Linked DNA regions of Anolis sagrei. Each later gene encodes a partner of the first gene's protein in a complex. Links are inferred from orthologs where the notes say so. Each region holds a gene or a part of one and is shown in the gene's direction. Other genes may lie near its edges.

The links.
Region 2: the proteins of TJP1 (region 1) and GJC1 are in contact, whole or in part, in a crystal structure (PDB 3SHW), measured with the Homo sapiens proteins. The link is inferred for Anolis sagrei from reciprocal best matches to the Homo sapiens genes TJP1 and GJC1. Residues at the interface, in NP_003248.3 of Homo sapiens: Lys429, Ser432, Val433, Gly434, Leu435, Arg436, Leu437, Gly449, Val450, Leu451, Val484, Leu487, Leu488, Leu549, Asn551, Gly552, Lys553; in NP_001073852.1 of Homo sapiens: Lys391, Thr392, Ser393, Val394, Trp395, Ile396.

What each region holds. Positions count from the first base shown.
Region 1 is NC_090029.1:6,538,393-6,545,876, reverse strand, and holds the start of TJP1 (tight junction protein ZO-1), read left to right. Parts: upstream 1-4,484; 5' UTR 4,485-4,654; coding exon 4,655-4,997; exon of another isoform or gene 4,998-5,137; intron 5,138-7,484. UniProt on the Homo sapiens protein: TJP1, TJP2, and TJP3 are closely related scaffolding proteins that link tight junction (TJ) transmembrane proteins such as claudins, junctional adhesion molecules, and occludin to the actin cytoskeleton.
Region 2 is NC_090026.1:47,648,867-47,656,388, forward strand, and holds the start of GJC1 (gap junction gamma-1 protein), read left to right. Parts: upstream 1-4,521; 5' UTR 4,522-4,815; intron 4,816-7,522. UniProt on the Homo sapiens protein: One gap junction consists of a cluster of closely packed pairs of transmembrane channels, the connexons, through which materials of low MW diffuse from one cell to a neighboring cell.

The sequences.
Region 1 (7,484 bases):
GAGCATTGAGTCATGGCTGGCCAAGTGATGTCTACCTGCATTCACCGAGTGGATACACCTTAAATCTGGAAACACAACAATAACTATTATAATAGTTTTATAACCAGATGTGCCTCAGGCATGGGCAAACTTGGGCCTTCCAGATGTTTTGGACTTCAACTCCCACGATTCCTAACAGCCCCAGGCCTCTTCCAGGAAGAGGCCTGAGGCTGTTAGGAATTGTGGGAGTTGAAGTCCAAAACACCTGGAAGGCCCAAGTTTGCCCATGCTTGCTCTACAATATTACTCATTATCTGAGGGAGATAAAATGTTTTATGTGAACACATAGCTTGGCCATCTTACATCTTCACACTAAACCTTCCAAAGGTGGAAGTGGAAAAGTAGTACAGACTTAGAAATGCATTTGCCCGAACCTTTCAATTAAGGCAATCTGCAAATGTACAGAGGTATGGTATGACGGAAGGTCCTCATAATCACTAATTGTCCCCTAATATATCAATATTATTTCCAGGTTCTCGTGAAGTTCTTCCAAGTTAACAAACTTTGCTTCAGATAGAAGATGGCCATATCTGGAGACAAGCACAAGATGGCAGTATCTCAGAAAATTTTGCTCCAGAAACAGACTTTAGGCACCGTGTATTTTTCTCCAAAAACACAAGGTATGTATGTGGTGATGCATCCTGTAGTTTTTAAATGTTTAAATAACACATCACAGTTTACTACTTCAAAAACAAATACATCCTGTTGCTTATTTATTTATCGTGTCAGAAGCGAATTGAGGGTGCAGTTATAATGTATTTTAAAATACAAACAAAGTTAAAAACTTGGCATTATACTAAATTTCCTTTCATAGAATCAAAGAGTTGGAAGAGACCTCATGGGCCATCCAGTCCAACCCCCTGCCAAGAAGCAGGAACACTGCATTCAAATCACCCCTGACAGATGGCCATCCAGCCTCTGTTTAAAAGCTTCCAAAGAAGGAGCCTCCACCACACTCCGGGGCAGAGAGTTCCACTGCTGAACGGCTCTCACAGTCAGGAAGTTCTTCCTCATGTTCAGATGGAATCTCCTCTCTTGTAGTTTGAAGCCATTGTTCCGCGTCCTAGTCTCCAAGGAAGCAGAAAACAAGCTTGCTCCCTCCTCCTCCCTGTGGCTTCCTCTCACATATTTATACATGGCTATCATATCTCCTCTCAGCCTTCTCTTCTTCAGGCTAAACATGCCCAGCTCCGTAAGCCGCTCATAGGGCTTGTTCTCCAGACCTTTTATCATTTTAGTCGCTCTCCTCTGGACACATTCCAGCTTGTCAATATCTCTCTTGAATTGTGGTTGACCAGAAGCTGGCCACTTGGAGTGGTTCTACTGTTGCTGTAAGGAGGTCCTCCATTGTGCATGTGGCAGGGCTCAGACTGAATTATAGTAAGTTGTCTGTGGTTTGCTCTTCTGCACACTCCTGGACTCCACTCTGTGGCCCCATTTTTTAAGGTTGGCGCTGCATCTTATGATGATGATGATGATGATGATAATAATAATAATAATAATAATAATAATAATCTTTATTCATACCCGCCACTATCTCCCCAATGGGGACTCAGAGCGGCTTACATGGGGCCAAGCCCAGACAACATATTACAGCAAAAATAAAATCAAAACATAAACAACAAGCAACATCATCAAAATTACATGGAAAAAAACATATGAATACAGTAACAAAATAACATTACAATAAAAATAAACACAATCACAGTGACACATGTGGGCGGACCACATGTACAGGATAAAATGTTTAAAAACTCTAATGAGATAAGAATAGAAGCAAGTTATTTGCAGGGAGCTGATAAAGAAACACAGGGTTGTGAACTAAACTTCCCATGTGGGGGGCGTGTACTCCAGTGACAGAAAAGTTGAGGGGAGCAGTAGTGCAGCCTGTTCAGCACCTTCCAAGTCTCCCAGTCTTCTGTGTGCCCAGGAGGGAGTTTCTCATCTGGTCTCAGCCACTGATTCTGGGTTTTAACCTGCCACTTTTGGACTCTTGCTTGCTGAGGTGTTCCTGTGCTGCAGTGCTACAATAGGATTCCTTCCCACATAATCCTCAGAGCTCGAGATGCTTGTCTGTTCTTTGGATGAAATGCACACATCTGCATTTTAGATGAATTAGGAGTCAGCTGGTTTTTCCTGTAATAGGTAGTAAGAGCACCCAAAGCTTCAGAGAGCTTCTGTTCAACCATTTCATGGGCTTCGACCCATGTAAGCCGCATCGAGTCCTTCGGGAGATGCTAGCGGGGTACAAATAAAGTTAATAATAATAATCATCATCATCATCATTTCAAAGCTCCCTGCTTCATTGGTGATGGCATGATCGTCAGCATAGATGAAATTATGTTGCTTATTTTTTTAAGTTCAGGAAGTTGCTAGATTATTTTATTTATTTATTGTTCAAATTTATGTGCCGCCACTCCCCTGGGGCTCAGAGCGGCTTACAAGAACAGGCTAAAATCTAACACAATTTAAAAACAATTTAAAACAATTTAAAAACAGCAATATCAAAAATCAAAGGCCTGTCGAAACAGATGTGTAAACACGGTTCTTCGCACGTCAAAGTTGGCTTGGTGACCTTGTGATAGTCATTGCTTCCCTGCCTAGCCTACCTCACTAAGTTGTTTGTTAAGATGAAATGAGCGAGGAGAGAGGAATTTTGGGGAAACCAGGAATCTCCACAGGCTTTTTGGAAGCATGACTTCCAAAAGAGATGTTTTACTTATTGTTTTAAGTGTTTATTTATTTATTTATTTATTTGCTTTTCTTTTATACCGCATATATCAGCCTGATACAGCGACTCTATGCGGTTTACAGTGCGATTAATAACAATTACAGTAAATAAGACATAACATATACAGACATACAACAAATAATCATCTACGCCTGAATGAAATCAGATCTCGTTCTCATAATCCTTTAGACGTTCCTTGTTCAGTAATGCCGTGTTATTTGTAGTGGCATTGAATTGCTGTCAAATGTAAGCCGTCCTGAATCCCTCTTTGGAGGCTGAGAAGGAACGGGTTAGAAATACCAGAAGTAAATAAATAAAATAAATGAAGGAATCCTAATCAGTCAGCAACAGTAATGCATGTCTTTTTTTTTTTTTTTGGCCAAATTACAAAAACTACACTTTTTGCCACTGCATATCACATTCGGCAGCAAATACTTTTTTTTTTCTTGGTTTCAGAATTTTGAAAATTGAGCTTCACATTAGATTCGATGGCATATTAGACTCGAGTAAATACTATGGGTATATGTGAAGCAGGGTTGTTACGCAAGTTTGATCCTCAGTGAATAATTACTACTGGCAGTACACCTACATTGAAGCTGTCAGAATCTCTCCCCTTAATCCTAATTCATTAAGTAGATGCTATTTATGAGAGTTTTTTTTTTAAAAAAAACAATCATCCAATAATTCTGGAATCACAAAAGATACAATCAGTGTTAAACATTGTAAATGCAAGTTTCCAAAAAGATTTAGACTATTTCCCTGCTCCTCACAAATGTCTTTTTCCAACAGTACACACCCATGAAGAACAAGTCCTAGGCCTTCTGCTTATGTATGCATAAGAACAAATACTGTAAATACTCGAGTATAAGCCTAGTTTTTCAGCCCTTTTTTAGGCTGAAAAAGTCCCTCTCGGCTTATACTTGAGTCAAGATAATTTATTATTGAATTCTGTTGTTATTGTTATTATTACATTGATTATTTTACTCTTATTATTACATTTATTATTTTGTTTTATTATTGTTATTATTACATTTATTATTTCACTCTCTTTATTATTATCGGAAGAATACATAAGCAGAAGGTTAGAATAATGGATTAATCAAACTTGGACAGTCTTATCTTAAATTACACTTTTATGTAAATATTCAAAAACATTTAACCTTCTGATGCCTCAATTAATGTAATTGTATTGGTATTTATATTTTGAAATTGACCAGTAGCTGCTGCATTTCCCACCTCGGCTTATACTCGAGTCAATACGTTTTCCCAGGTTTTTTTGTGGTAAAATTAGGTGCCTAGGCTTACATTCGGGTCAGCTTATACTCGAGTATATACGGGTATATCACTTGTGCAATTCTACTTAAAAGGGACCATCACTATCACAGTATTATTTGGGAGGCCAGCCCAACAAGGCAGAAATCTTAGTATCCACTTAAAACTGTGCCCTTGTTTCTTGTTTTAATACTTGCCTGCAATGGATAAGTGCTTTGATATCCTGTCTTCTTCAGTGTAACTTTCTACAATAGACTCGTTTTGTTTGTTGCGAAGCGGTTTAGAGAATTACAAAGTGAACAGTAGCCCAGCTATTCTCCTCTCTGCCTTTTTGTGGTTGTGGAGATGCCTATTAACGCTTGTAAAAGGCTAATTAGTGTAAAGTAATCCTCTTAGGGAGCTGGAAGCACTGTGCGTGGCAGTTTCTTTTGCTTTTTGTGCTTTTATAATTCGAACCTAGGCCTCTGCTTTTCCAGTCAAATTGCCCTATCTATCGGCAGGCGATACCCCCTTGCCTTCCCACGGCGTGCCTATAGACCCCGGAAGGCTGCAAGCGTCTGACAGAGAGCGGCAATCCTTTCTTTTTATTTATTTTTAGCTTTAAATGCAAACATGTTTAGGTGGCCGGTCCGGTCTTGGTTTTATAACTGTGCAAAACCAACCAAAAAAGAAAGCACAGATAGGAACCAGTGGCTTGCTGATATCCTAAGCAACCACAGGGAGAGAATCGTGAGAGAGCTGGATGTGCAGAAAGTGCTGTCATATCTGGTTTATGAGAGAGTCTTTTCCTTGGAGGAGTACAAAGACATTTTGTCCCGGGAGTGCTGCGAGAAGCAAGCTGCCTATTTTTTAGAGAAACTGGTTTGCAAAGGGCCCGGTGCCCTGTCCGCGTTCTGCTCGGTGCTGGAGGAGGTCTGTCCCCACTCGTTCATTTCCGTTCTCCTTGGCTACCAAGGTAAGGTCATAGGTCCTGCCGTCTGAAATGTTCCAAGTGTGTTATCGGCAGAGCCTTCGAATCCTTCCACACAAATGGTCTATAATTAGAAGTTACTTTCTCTCGCTTGTGCTCCTCCGCTTGCTCTCATTATAGCTACTCTGTTGAAAGAAACAGAAGAAGAGGACAGAAATAATTGTGGGGGATATAGAAAATGCTTTAAATCTCTCTGTAGAAGCCATGGTAGTAAAATAGAAATGAGTTAATACCATCAGTTGGGATTATCAACGATGCAGAAGAACCAGCTGGTTGATAATAAATATTCTCAAGTCGGGGAAAATGTTAATTTGATTATGTAGTGGCCACTTTAATACTTCAGTAGACTATTCAGTGTACACTTGCAGATACGTTGCCTTAGTGGTCTGAGAGAGAGAGAAGATAGATACGCAAATAGCAATACACTTTGTGTTGCAGAATGTATTGTTCTGTGAAATTAAGCTAGGATTATTTGATAAAAATTGTGACTGAAGAAAGATATGGTCAGCAGATGACTGAAAAACACATTGATAGAAGTGGGTTGTGACATGCAAGTGAATGTGGCATACTTCAGAGTCTGCAATATTACATACCCTTCAGGGGAAATAATCATAGGTCAGATGACAACATATAAACCAACTGGATTTAAGGACAGATGTGGATAGGTCTGCAGGCTTAATCCCAGTGATTTCAGGGATCAGTTTAATACAATTCCATGCATCTTTACTCAGAGGCAAGCCTCCCTGCATTCAATAGTTTATTTACCCAGGTGTACCTTGGTTTGCAGCCTTAAGCCAATTGTTCCTGGCAAAAGCAGGCTAAGGACTGATGTGTGTATGATAGTTCAACAGCAGTGTTTCTCAACCTTCCTAATCCCTTAATGCAGTTCCTCATGTTGTGGTGACCCCCAACCATAACATTTTTTTCATTGCTACTTCATAACTGTAATTTTTCTACTGTTATGAATCGTAATGTAAATATCTAACATGCAGGATGTATTTTCATTCACTGATCCACATTTGGCACAAATACCCGATATGCCCACATTTGAATACTGGTGAGGTTTGGGAAGATTGATTTTGTCATTTGGGAGTTGTAGTTGCTGGGATTTATAAACAAAGAGCATTCTAAACTCCACCAATGATGGAATTTAATCATACTTGGCACACAAAACTCCCACATCCAATACAGAAAGGGTTTCCTGGGCATTGACCTTGAGTTTTGGAATTGTAGTTCACCTACATCCAGAGAGCACTGTGGACTCAAACAATGATGGATCTGGACCAAACTTGGCACGAATACTCAATATGCCCAAATGTGAACACTGTTGTATTATGGGGGAAATAGATCTTGAGATTTGGGAGCTGTAGTTGCTGGGATTTTTAGTTCACCTACAATCAAAGAGCATTCTGACTCCCACCAATGATAGAATTGGGCCTAACTTCCCACTCCGAACCCCCATGACCAACAGAAAACAACTATATTTTTGATAGTCTTTGGTGACCCTTCCCACCAATGGTGACCCTCCCACCAATGATAAAATTGGGCCTAACTTCCCACTCCGAACCCCCATGACCAACAGAAAAAAAACTATATTTTTGATGGTTTTTGGTGACCCTTCTTTGGTGGCCCAGGGGTCCCGACCCCCAGGTTGAGAAACTCTGCCTTAGTGGTTTGGGAGATATATGATGGGCAGGTATGCAAATAGCAATACGCTTTCACTGCAGAATGTACTGTGAAATTAAGCAAGGATTATTTGATAAAAATTGTGACTGAAGAAAGATATAGTCAGCAGATGACTGAAAAACACATAGATAGAAGTGGGTTGTGACATGCAAGTGAATCTGGCATACTTCAGAGTCTGCAATATTACATACCCTTCAGGGGAAATAATCATAAGTCAGATGACAACATATAAAACAACTGGATTTAAGGACAGATGTGGATAGGACTGCAGGCATAATCCCAGTGATTTCAGGGATCAGTGTAACACAATTCCATGCGTCTTTACTCAGAGGCAAGCCTCCCTGCATTCAATAGTTCATTTGCCCAGGTGTACCTTGGTTGGTAGCCTTAAGCCAACTGTTTCTGACTCAAGCAGGCTGAGGAGTGATATGTGTATGTTAGCTCTACAGGTTCTCACATTGCTGCAGGAGAGAGGCTAATTAATCTAAAGGTAGTTAGCACCTTAATTATGCACATCAAATTAAAACAAAAAAACTAAGGACCCTGCAGGTTTTATAATAATCTATTTTTAAATGTAACAGCTACTAAGGCTTGTTGGGTAGAAATAAGTGTCTGAAGGTAATTTGATCTCTGAAATATATGCCTCTTACACCTCCATTATTTCACACTTGTAAACTTAATTACCTTTAAAACTGAGTTACAAGTCCTATGATTCAGTAATGTGATGGACCGTTTGCCACAATTTACTGATCAACAGATGACCATATATCTCTCTGTTTCCTACCC
Region 2 (7,522 bases), on another chromosome or scaffold:
AAGAAAGAAAGAAAGAAAGAAAAGAGAAAGAGGGAGGGAAGGCTGGTCACAGCAACGCCTGGCAGGTATAGCCAAAACAACTCCCTAGCAATCAAAACACACAATAACATATCCATACTTACTTCCAGACTACAGCTCCCAGTATTCCCCAGACCAGGCCCTTTAGGAGAGGAAGATGGTCCAAATGCACTCCTTCCAAGCTGCGAGCTTTCTTCTCCTTGGATTTCTTTGAGAGCATCCCAATCCCTGCATATTTCCCATTCCTGGACTGCAACTCCCAGCAATCCTCCAGATAGATACATTAGATAGACATAGGTAGGTAGGTAAGTAGGTAGATAGATAGATTGATTGATCAGTACTGCTGGGAGTTGCAGTCCAAGAATAGGTAGAGAGAAGGAAGAAAGAGGAGAAAGAGGAAGGGAAAGAAGGGGGGGGAGGAAGAGGGAGAGAAGGAAAGAAAAAAGGAAGGAAAGCAAAAGAAAGAAAGAAAGAAAGAAAGAAATGAGAAAGAGGGAGAAAAGGCTGGTCGCAGCAACGCCTGGCAGGTACAGCTAGTAGATATATAAACCCAATTTTCGTATTTCCTACAGACCTCACAACCTCTGAGGATGCTTGCCACAGATTATTATTATTATTATTATTATTATTATTATTATTAAACTTTATTTGTACCCCGCTAGCATCTCCCGCAGGACTCGATGCGGCTTACAAAGGCCAAGGCCTCAACACAACAACAGCAAACAATAACAATACAATTTAAAGCAACATAAAAACATAAGCAATAAAAAACAATATATCAATTACGCAATAAAAACCAGGGCCAGGCCAGTGATGGGTACAGGTTAAAAAGTGCTGGGTGTGGCAGGCGGTATGTTGGATTTCCGGGCAAGTGCAATGTGCAGAGAGTCTTAAACTCTAATAAAGTGCTTCTGGGAGGTAGTGCTGGAGATTATCCTAATCCGGAAAGGCACATCGGAATAGCCAGGTCTTCAGATTCTTCCTGAAGACTGCCGACGTGGGTGCTAGTTAGTCTAATGTCTTTGGGGAGGGTGTTCCAGAGTCGGGGGGCAACCACAGAGAAGGCCCTGTCCCTCGGCCCCACCAAAAGCAGGGCCTCTCCAGATGAACGAAGGGATCGCGTGGGTTCATACACGGAGATGCGGTCACGCAGGTAGGCAGGTCCCAAACTGTTTAGGGCTTTGTAGGTAAGCACCTGCAACTTGAATTGGGCTCGGTAAGTAAACAGCAGCCAATGGAGTTCCCTAAACAGAAGGGTTGACCTCTCCCTGTAAGGAGCGCCAGTTAACATCCTGGCCGCCGCCCGTTATACCAGTTGGAATTTCCGAGCCGTTTTCAAGGGCAGCCCCACATAGAGCGCATTACAGTAATCCAATCTAGAGGTGACCAAGGCATGGACCACCCCAGCCAAATCAACCTTTGTGAGGTACGGTTGCAGCGAAATGTCAGAAGAGAATGCTTCTAGAACATGGCCATATAGTCCGAAAAACCTACAACAGCCCAGTGTTTCCAGCCATGAAAGTCTTCGACAATATTTTTTCCTGGGTATACTTTTTGATCGTATTTGACATTGTAGCTCAAATACGTTTTGAAGTTGTTGTTTTTCCTACAAAGTTCTTTCCAAACAAGTGAGTCCACACTGCCATATATTCCAGTTCAAAGGAAATCATGTGTCTAGATCCAGGGAAGTCATGCTACCCCTCTATTCCGCCTTGGTTAGACCACACCTGGAATATTGTGTCCAATTCTGGGCATCACAATTGAAGAGATTTATTGACAAGCTGGAATGTGTCCAGAGGGCGACTAAAATGGTCAAGGGTCCGGAGAACAAACCCTATGAGGAGCGTCTTAAGGAGCTGGGCATGTTTAGCCTGAAGAAGAGAAGGCTAAGAGGAGACATGATAGCCATGTATAAATAATGAGAGGAAGTCATAGGGAGGAGGGAGCAAACTTGTTTTCTGCTGCTCTGGAGACTAGGAAGTGGAACAATGGCTTCAAACTACAAGAAAGGAGATTCAATCTGAACATGTGGAGAACTTCTTGACTGTGAGAGCTGTTCACAGCTGTTCAGTGGAACTCTCTGCCCCAGAGTGTGGTGGAGTCTCCTTCTTTGGAAGCTTTTAAACAGAGGCTGGATGGCCATCTGTCAGGGGTGCTTTGAATGCGATTTTCCTGCTTCTTGGCAGGGGGTTGGACTGTGGTCTCTCCCAACTCTATGATTTTAAGCCACATCTTCTGGTCAAGTGTCCCAGAGGTGCCTAAAAGGTCCTTGCTTGATATCAGCTCTCACAATTTCAATGTCTTTATAGAAATCCTGTTAGTAAACCTACAGAACAAACTGTTGAATGGTGGTCAACACATAGGTAAATCCAGTTGATTCAATGAGTACACTCTACACAATATCAACAATAGGATTTAGCTTCTTGTTTAGCAAATTTCCTCATAGCAGCTTACAGGTAGCTTCATTTAACATAAAGTTAAAAGAAAACCAGTTTTCTGGAGTGTTGTGTGGTTCTCAGGCTGTGAGAGCTGTTCAGCAGTGGAACTCTCTGCCCCAGAGTGTGGTGGAGGCTCCTTCTTTGGAAGCTTTTAAACAGAGGCTGGATGGCCATCTGTCGGGGGTGCTTTGAATGCAATTTTCCTGCTTCTTGGCAGGAGGTTGGACTGTGGCCTCTCCCAACTCTATGATTTTAAGCCACATCTTCTGGTCAAGTGTCCCAGAGGTGCCTGAAAGGTCCTTGGCTTGATATCAGCTCTCACAATTTCAACGTCTTTGTAGAAATCCTGTTAGTAAACCCACAGAACGAACTGTTGAATGGTGGTCAACACATAGGTAAATCCAGTTGATTCAATGAGCACACTCTACACAATATCAACAATAGGATTTAGCTTCTTGTTTAGCAAATTTCCTCATAGCAGCTTACAGGTAGCTTCATTTAACATAAAGTAAAAAGAAAACCAATTTTCTGGAGTGTTGTATGGTTCACAGGCTGTGAGAGCTGTTTAGCAGTGGAACTCTCTGCCCTAGAGTGTGGTGGAGGCTCCTTCTTTGGAAGCTTTTAAACAGGCTGGATGGCCATCTGTCGGGGGTGCTTTGAATGCATTTTTCCTGCTTCTTGGCAGGGGGTTGGACTGGACGCAGGGGAGGCTCGTCCATTACGCGAAGTAAGCAGTCGCAGAACACTTTTTTTTGCCAGGGGCGCAGAGGCGCCTCTGTAAATGCCCCCTGACCGCCACTTGAGGAGCGCCCCCTCAGCTCACAACAGCCCTAGCAGTCCGGGGGGGGGGGGGAGCCTCGGTTTTCTTGCCTCACTGCGGGGGATCCTCTTCCCAAAGGGGCCGGGCCCTTGAGCCTTGCCTAGCCCCTCTCATTCCTGCTCCACCCAGCCACTGGGTGTGCGAGCAGAGCCGGCGCTCAATCGTTCTCTGCGTTCGATCCCTTCCCCATGACCAGCTCCCTTTCCCGATCCCCTGGCGCTCCACTCGCCTCCTCTCCTCTCCTCTCCCCAATCCGCGTGTGGGCCAAGGGGCGGAGCCGCCACGCCTGGCCCGCTTTGGGTCCAGAGGCGTGTCTGAAGACCCCAGCGTGCGCACCAAAAGTCACCTCTTCTCCTGACTTTCTCTTCAGCCATTGGGACCAAGAGAGAGAGAGAGAGAGAGCCCCTTTGGCTGGAGGTATCTCCCACCTCCGCTCCCTCCTTTGTTTTTGCGCCTATCTTCCAGGAAAGGTGGGCATCTCCACCTCTGTCTCTGTCTCTCGGTCCCAATGGCTGAGGAGAAAGTCAGGAGAAGAGGTGACTTTTGGTGCACACGCCGGGGTCTTCAGGCACGCCTCTGGACCCAAAGCGGGCTAGGCAAGGGAGCAAGTGCGGCAAGTGTAGTTACTGGAATGTATAGTTCACCTACAATCAAAGCGCATTCTGAACTCCACCAATGATGGAATTGAACCAAATATGGCACAAAGAACTCCCACGACGAACAGAAAATATATATCAATGATTGATTGGGGGGGGGGGGCAAAATACTGTTTGCTTACCGTTGAAAATTACCTAGGGCCGCCTCTGATTCCACCTGAACATGAGGAAGAACTTCCTGACTGTGAGAGCTGTTCAGCTGTGGAACTCTCTGCCCCAGAGTGTGGTGGAGGCTCCTTCTTTGGAATCTTTTAAACAGAGGCTGGATGGCCATCTGTCAGGGGTGCTTTGAATGCATTTTTCCTGCTTCTTGGCAGGGGGTTGGACTGGATGGCCCATGAGGTCTCTTCCAACTTTTATGATTCCAAACAAGTGAGTCCACACTGCCATATATCCCACTTCAAAGCAAACCATGTGGGATTTGATTCAGCTGTTTGGAAGGGGTCCCATTCCTGCAAAAAAGGAAAGCAGATCCGTGTCTTTTGCAAATGCAAATGCTTTGTTTGTGGGAGCTGAGAGGAACCCGCTTGAGCATGCCAAAGCAATGTGAATGGGAAGGAAAGCATCTCTCAAACTCCTTTCCAAAGTCCTCCTCCTCCATCTGAGGAAGGTTTGGCGGTTTGGCGCCGTTTTGCACGAACCCACAGACACGCCAATGTTGCCAGTCATGAGGCAAGCGATCCCTCCAAAGGGGCCAGAGGTTGTCGGAGGTGGATGTCATGAGGGCGGGAGTGCAGCCTCCCTCTGGGTCGCTTTCGCCTTCTGCACGTTGAGGAGAAACAGAGAGGAAAAGAGGAGGAGGCAAAAAGAGGCTCCCCGAAGGCGGGATGGCGGCGACGGCGGGACCGAGCTCCTTCGAGACGCTCTTTGAGGGGAAAAGGCGGTGAGTCCGGGGAGAAAGAAGTCTGGGGGGCATTGAGGCATGGGAGCCCTGCTCTGTGGGAAAGGGGGCGCTGTCCCCTCTTTAGCTCCACCCTCTCCCCTCACCCCAAAGATCAGGGAGGCTCTCTTTCCTGTCTTGTGAGGGGTTTCTTTGGAGGAGGAGAAGAATCCTCAAATCTGGAGGGAACTCTGTTGGAAGAGAGACTTCAGCCACCCCCAAATATCCCCTTCCACATTGCCCTATATCCCAGAGCATCAAGGCAGAAAATCCCACAATATCTGCTTTGAACTGGGTTTTCTGAGTCCACACTGCCATATATTCCAGTTCAAAGCAGATAGTATGGGATTTTATTCAGCTGTGTGGAAGGGGCCTGGAATTGGGAAGTGTCCGACGTGTGATCCAATACAACAGCCAGCAGAGTGTCTGCTGTGAACTCATCTTGTTGTGTTTCAAATAATAATATATAATATAGGACATTTAATCAACTCCCAAACTCACAAATTTTGTATTTTTTCTGTTTGTTTGCTTTGTTCTGATAGAAATGTCATATAATTGACTGGTTGCCCTGGCACGACAAATAAATAAATAAAATTATAATACAATATATAATGTAATATATCATACACACACACATCTATCTATCTATCTATCTATCTCTATCTATCTATTCTATATATATATATATATATATATATACACACACACACACACACACACACACACACACACATGCTCTGTGCATAATGAGTTCCTTAAAAACAAAAAATCCAATGAACGAAATCACACCAAATTTGGCAACAAAACGTCTCACAACACAAGAAGTGACCATCACTCCAAAAATTATGATTTTGTCATTTGGGAGTTGTAGTTGCTGGGATTTATAGTTCACCTACAATCAAAGCGCATTCTGAACTCCACCAACAATGGAATTGAACCAAACTTGGCACACAGAACTTCCTTGGCCAACAGAAAATACTAGCAGCACTTAGGGGGCATTGACTTTGAGTTTGGGAGTTGTAGCTCACCTCCATCCAGAGAGCACAAACAATGATGGATCTGGACCAAACTTGGCACGAATATTCCATATGCCCAAATAAGAACACAGATGGAGTTTGGGGAAAATAGACCTTGGCATTTAGGAGTTGTAGTTACTGGGCTTTATAGTTCACCTACAATCAAAGACTATTCTGAATGAACCCCATGAATGACAGAACTGGGATAAACTTCCCACACAGAACCCCCAGGACCAACAGGAAATACTTAAGGCCATCCAGTACAACTCTCTTCACTAGGGCAAGAAAATGTAATCAGAGCCCTCGTGACAAAGAGCCATCCAGCCATAGATAGATAGATAGTAGGGCTGGGCGGTTTCGTTAATTCGTAATTCGTTAAAAAATCGTTTTTTTTAATAACGAAGCAATAACGAATCCTTCTGGAGCAACTTAAAAACGAAACGAATTTTTAAATTCGTTTAATAAATGCTTCGGATTCGTTATGTATTCGTTTCGTTATCGGTTTGAGGTCGTTTCGTTATTATTTCCGCACGTCTGGGGCAAGTTTTATCGTTGTTTTTTGTTTAATTAGTGAAAAAAAATTATAATATCACACCAACAGTCAACAACAGAGGGAGAGGGAAGCTTCAGAAGTTCCCCCTGTCCCATTTGGAGGTTTTTTAGCGTATTGCGCGGTCGCGTCCGCCATTAAGGAATCGATTCGTTATTGTTTCATATTTGTTTCATTAATGTTTCGTAATTTTTTTACATTTACGAAATTTCGTAAATATCGAACTTTTTAAAAGAAAAATTTCGGAATTCTTTTAAATATCGAAACGCAAAAACCCCCAAGAAACGAATCGATTTTAGGAACAAATTTTTCCGTTGTTACCCAGGCCTAATAGATAGATAGATATGATTTGCACACACACACACAGATATAGTATCATAGATTTGAAAGGGACCCCTAAAGAAGGACTATGATATGTTGCATATTCCAGAGTAGGCAAACCAGACACTCTCCACAGCAACACTGACAAAGAAGCAACAAGACATACTGTTTACCCACAAGCATAAAAAATAAATAATAAACTTTATTTGTACCCCGTTACCATCTCCCCAAGGGACTCGGTGTGGCTTACATGACGCCAAGCCCACAATACATCAATATAAGCAATAACAACAGCAATAAAAACAATTAAAATAAAGCTCATAAACAAAAAAGCAATAAACAGTGACAGTAATACAACACACATTTACACCTATGGCTGGGCCAAATGTAATTAAAGTTTAAAAAAATAATGCTAGGCATGAACAAGATAGGAGAGATGGGGCGTTGGTGAGAGCGTACAAACAATCCTAAATCAGTGTAAAGAAATTACATATATTAGAAACTATAAATCTCAACAACTACAACTCTCAAATGACAAAATCATAATTTTTTGAGTGATGGTCACTCCTTGTGTTGTGAGACGTTTTGTTGCCAAATTTGGTGTGATTTCGTTCATTAGTTCTTTTGTTTTTAAGGTACTCATTATGCACAAAGCATTTTTATATAGAGAGATTATTATTATTATTTTCTGTACACTGTAGAATTAATGCAGTTCAAAACTACCATATTTACTTGAGTCTGATGTTCATCTTCTTTGGCTAAATAATGTTGCCAAAATTAAGGTGCGAATTAGACTTGAGTAAGAGGATGACAGGCCCAATAG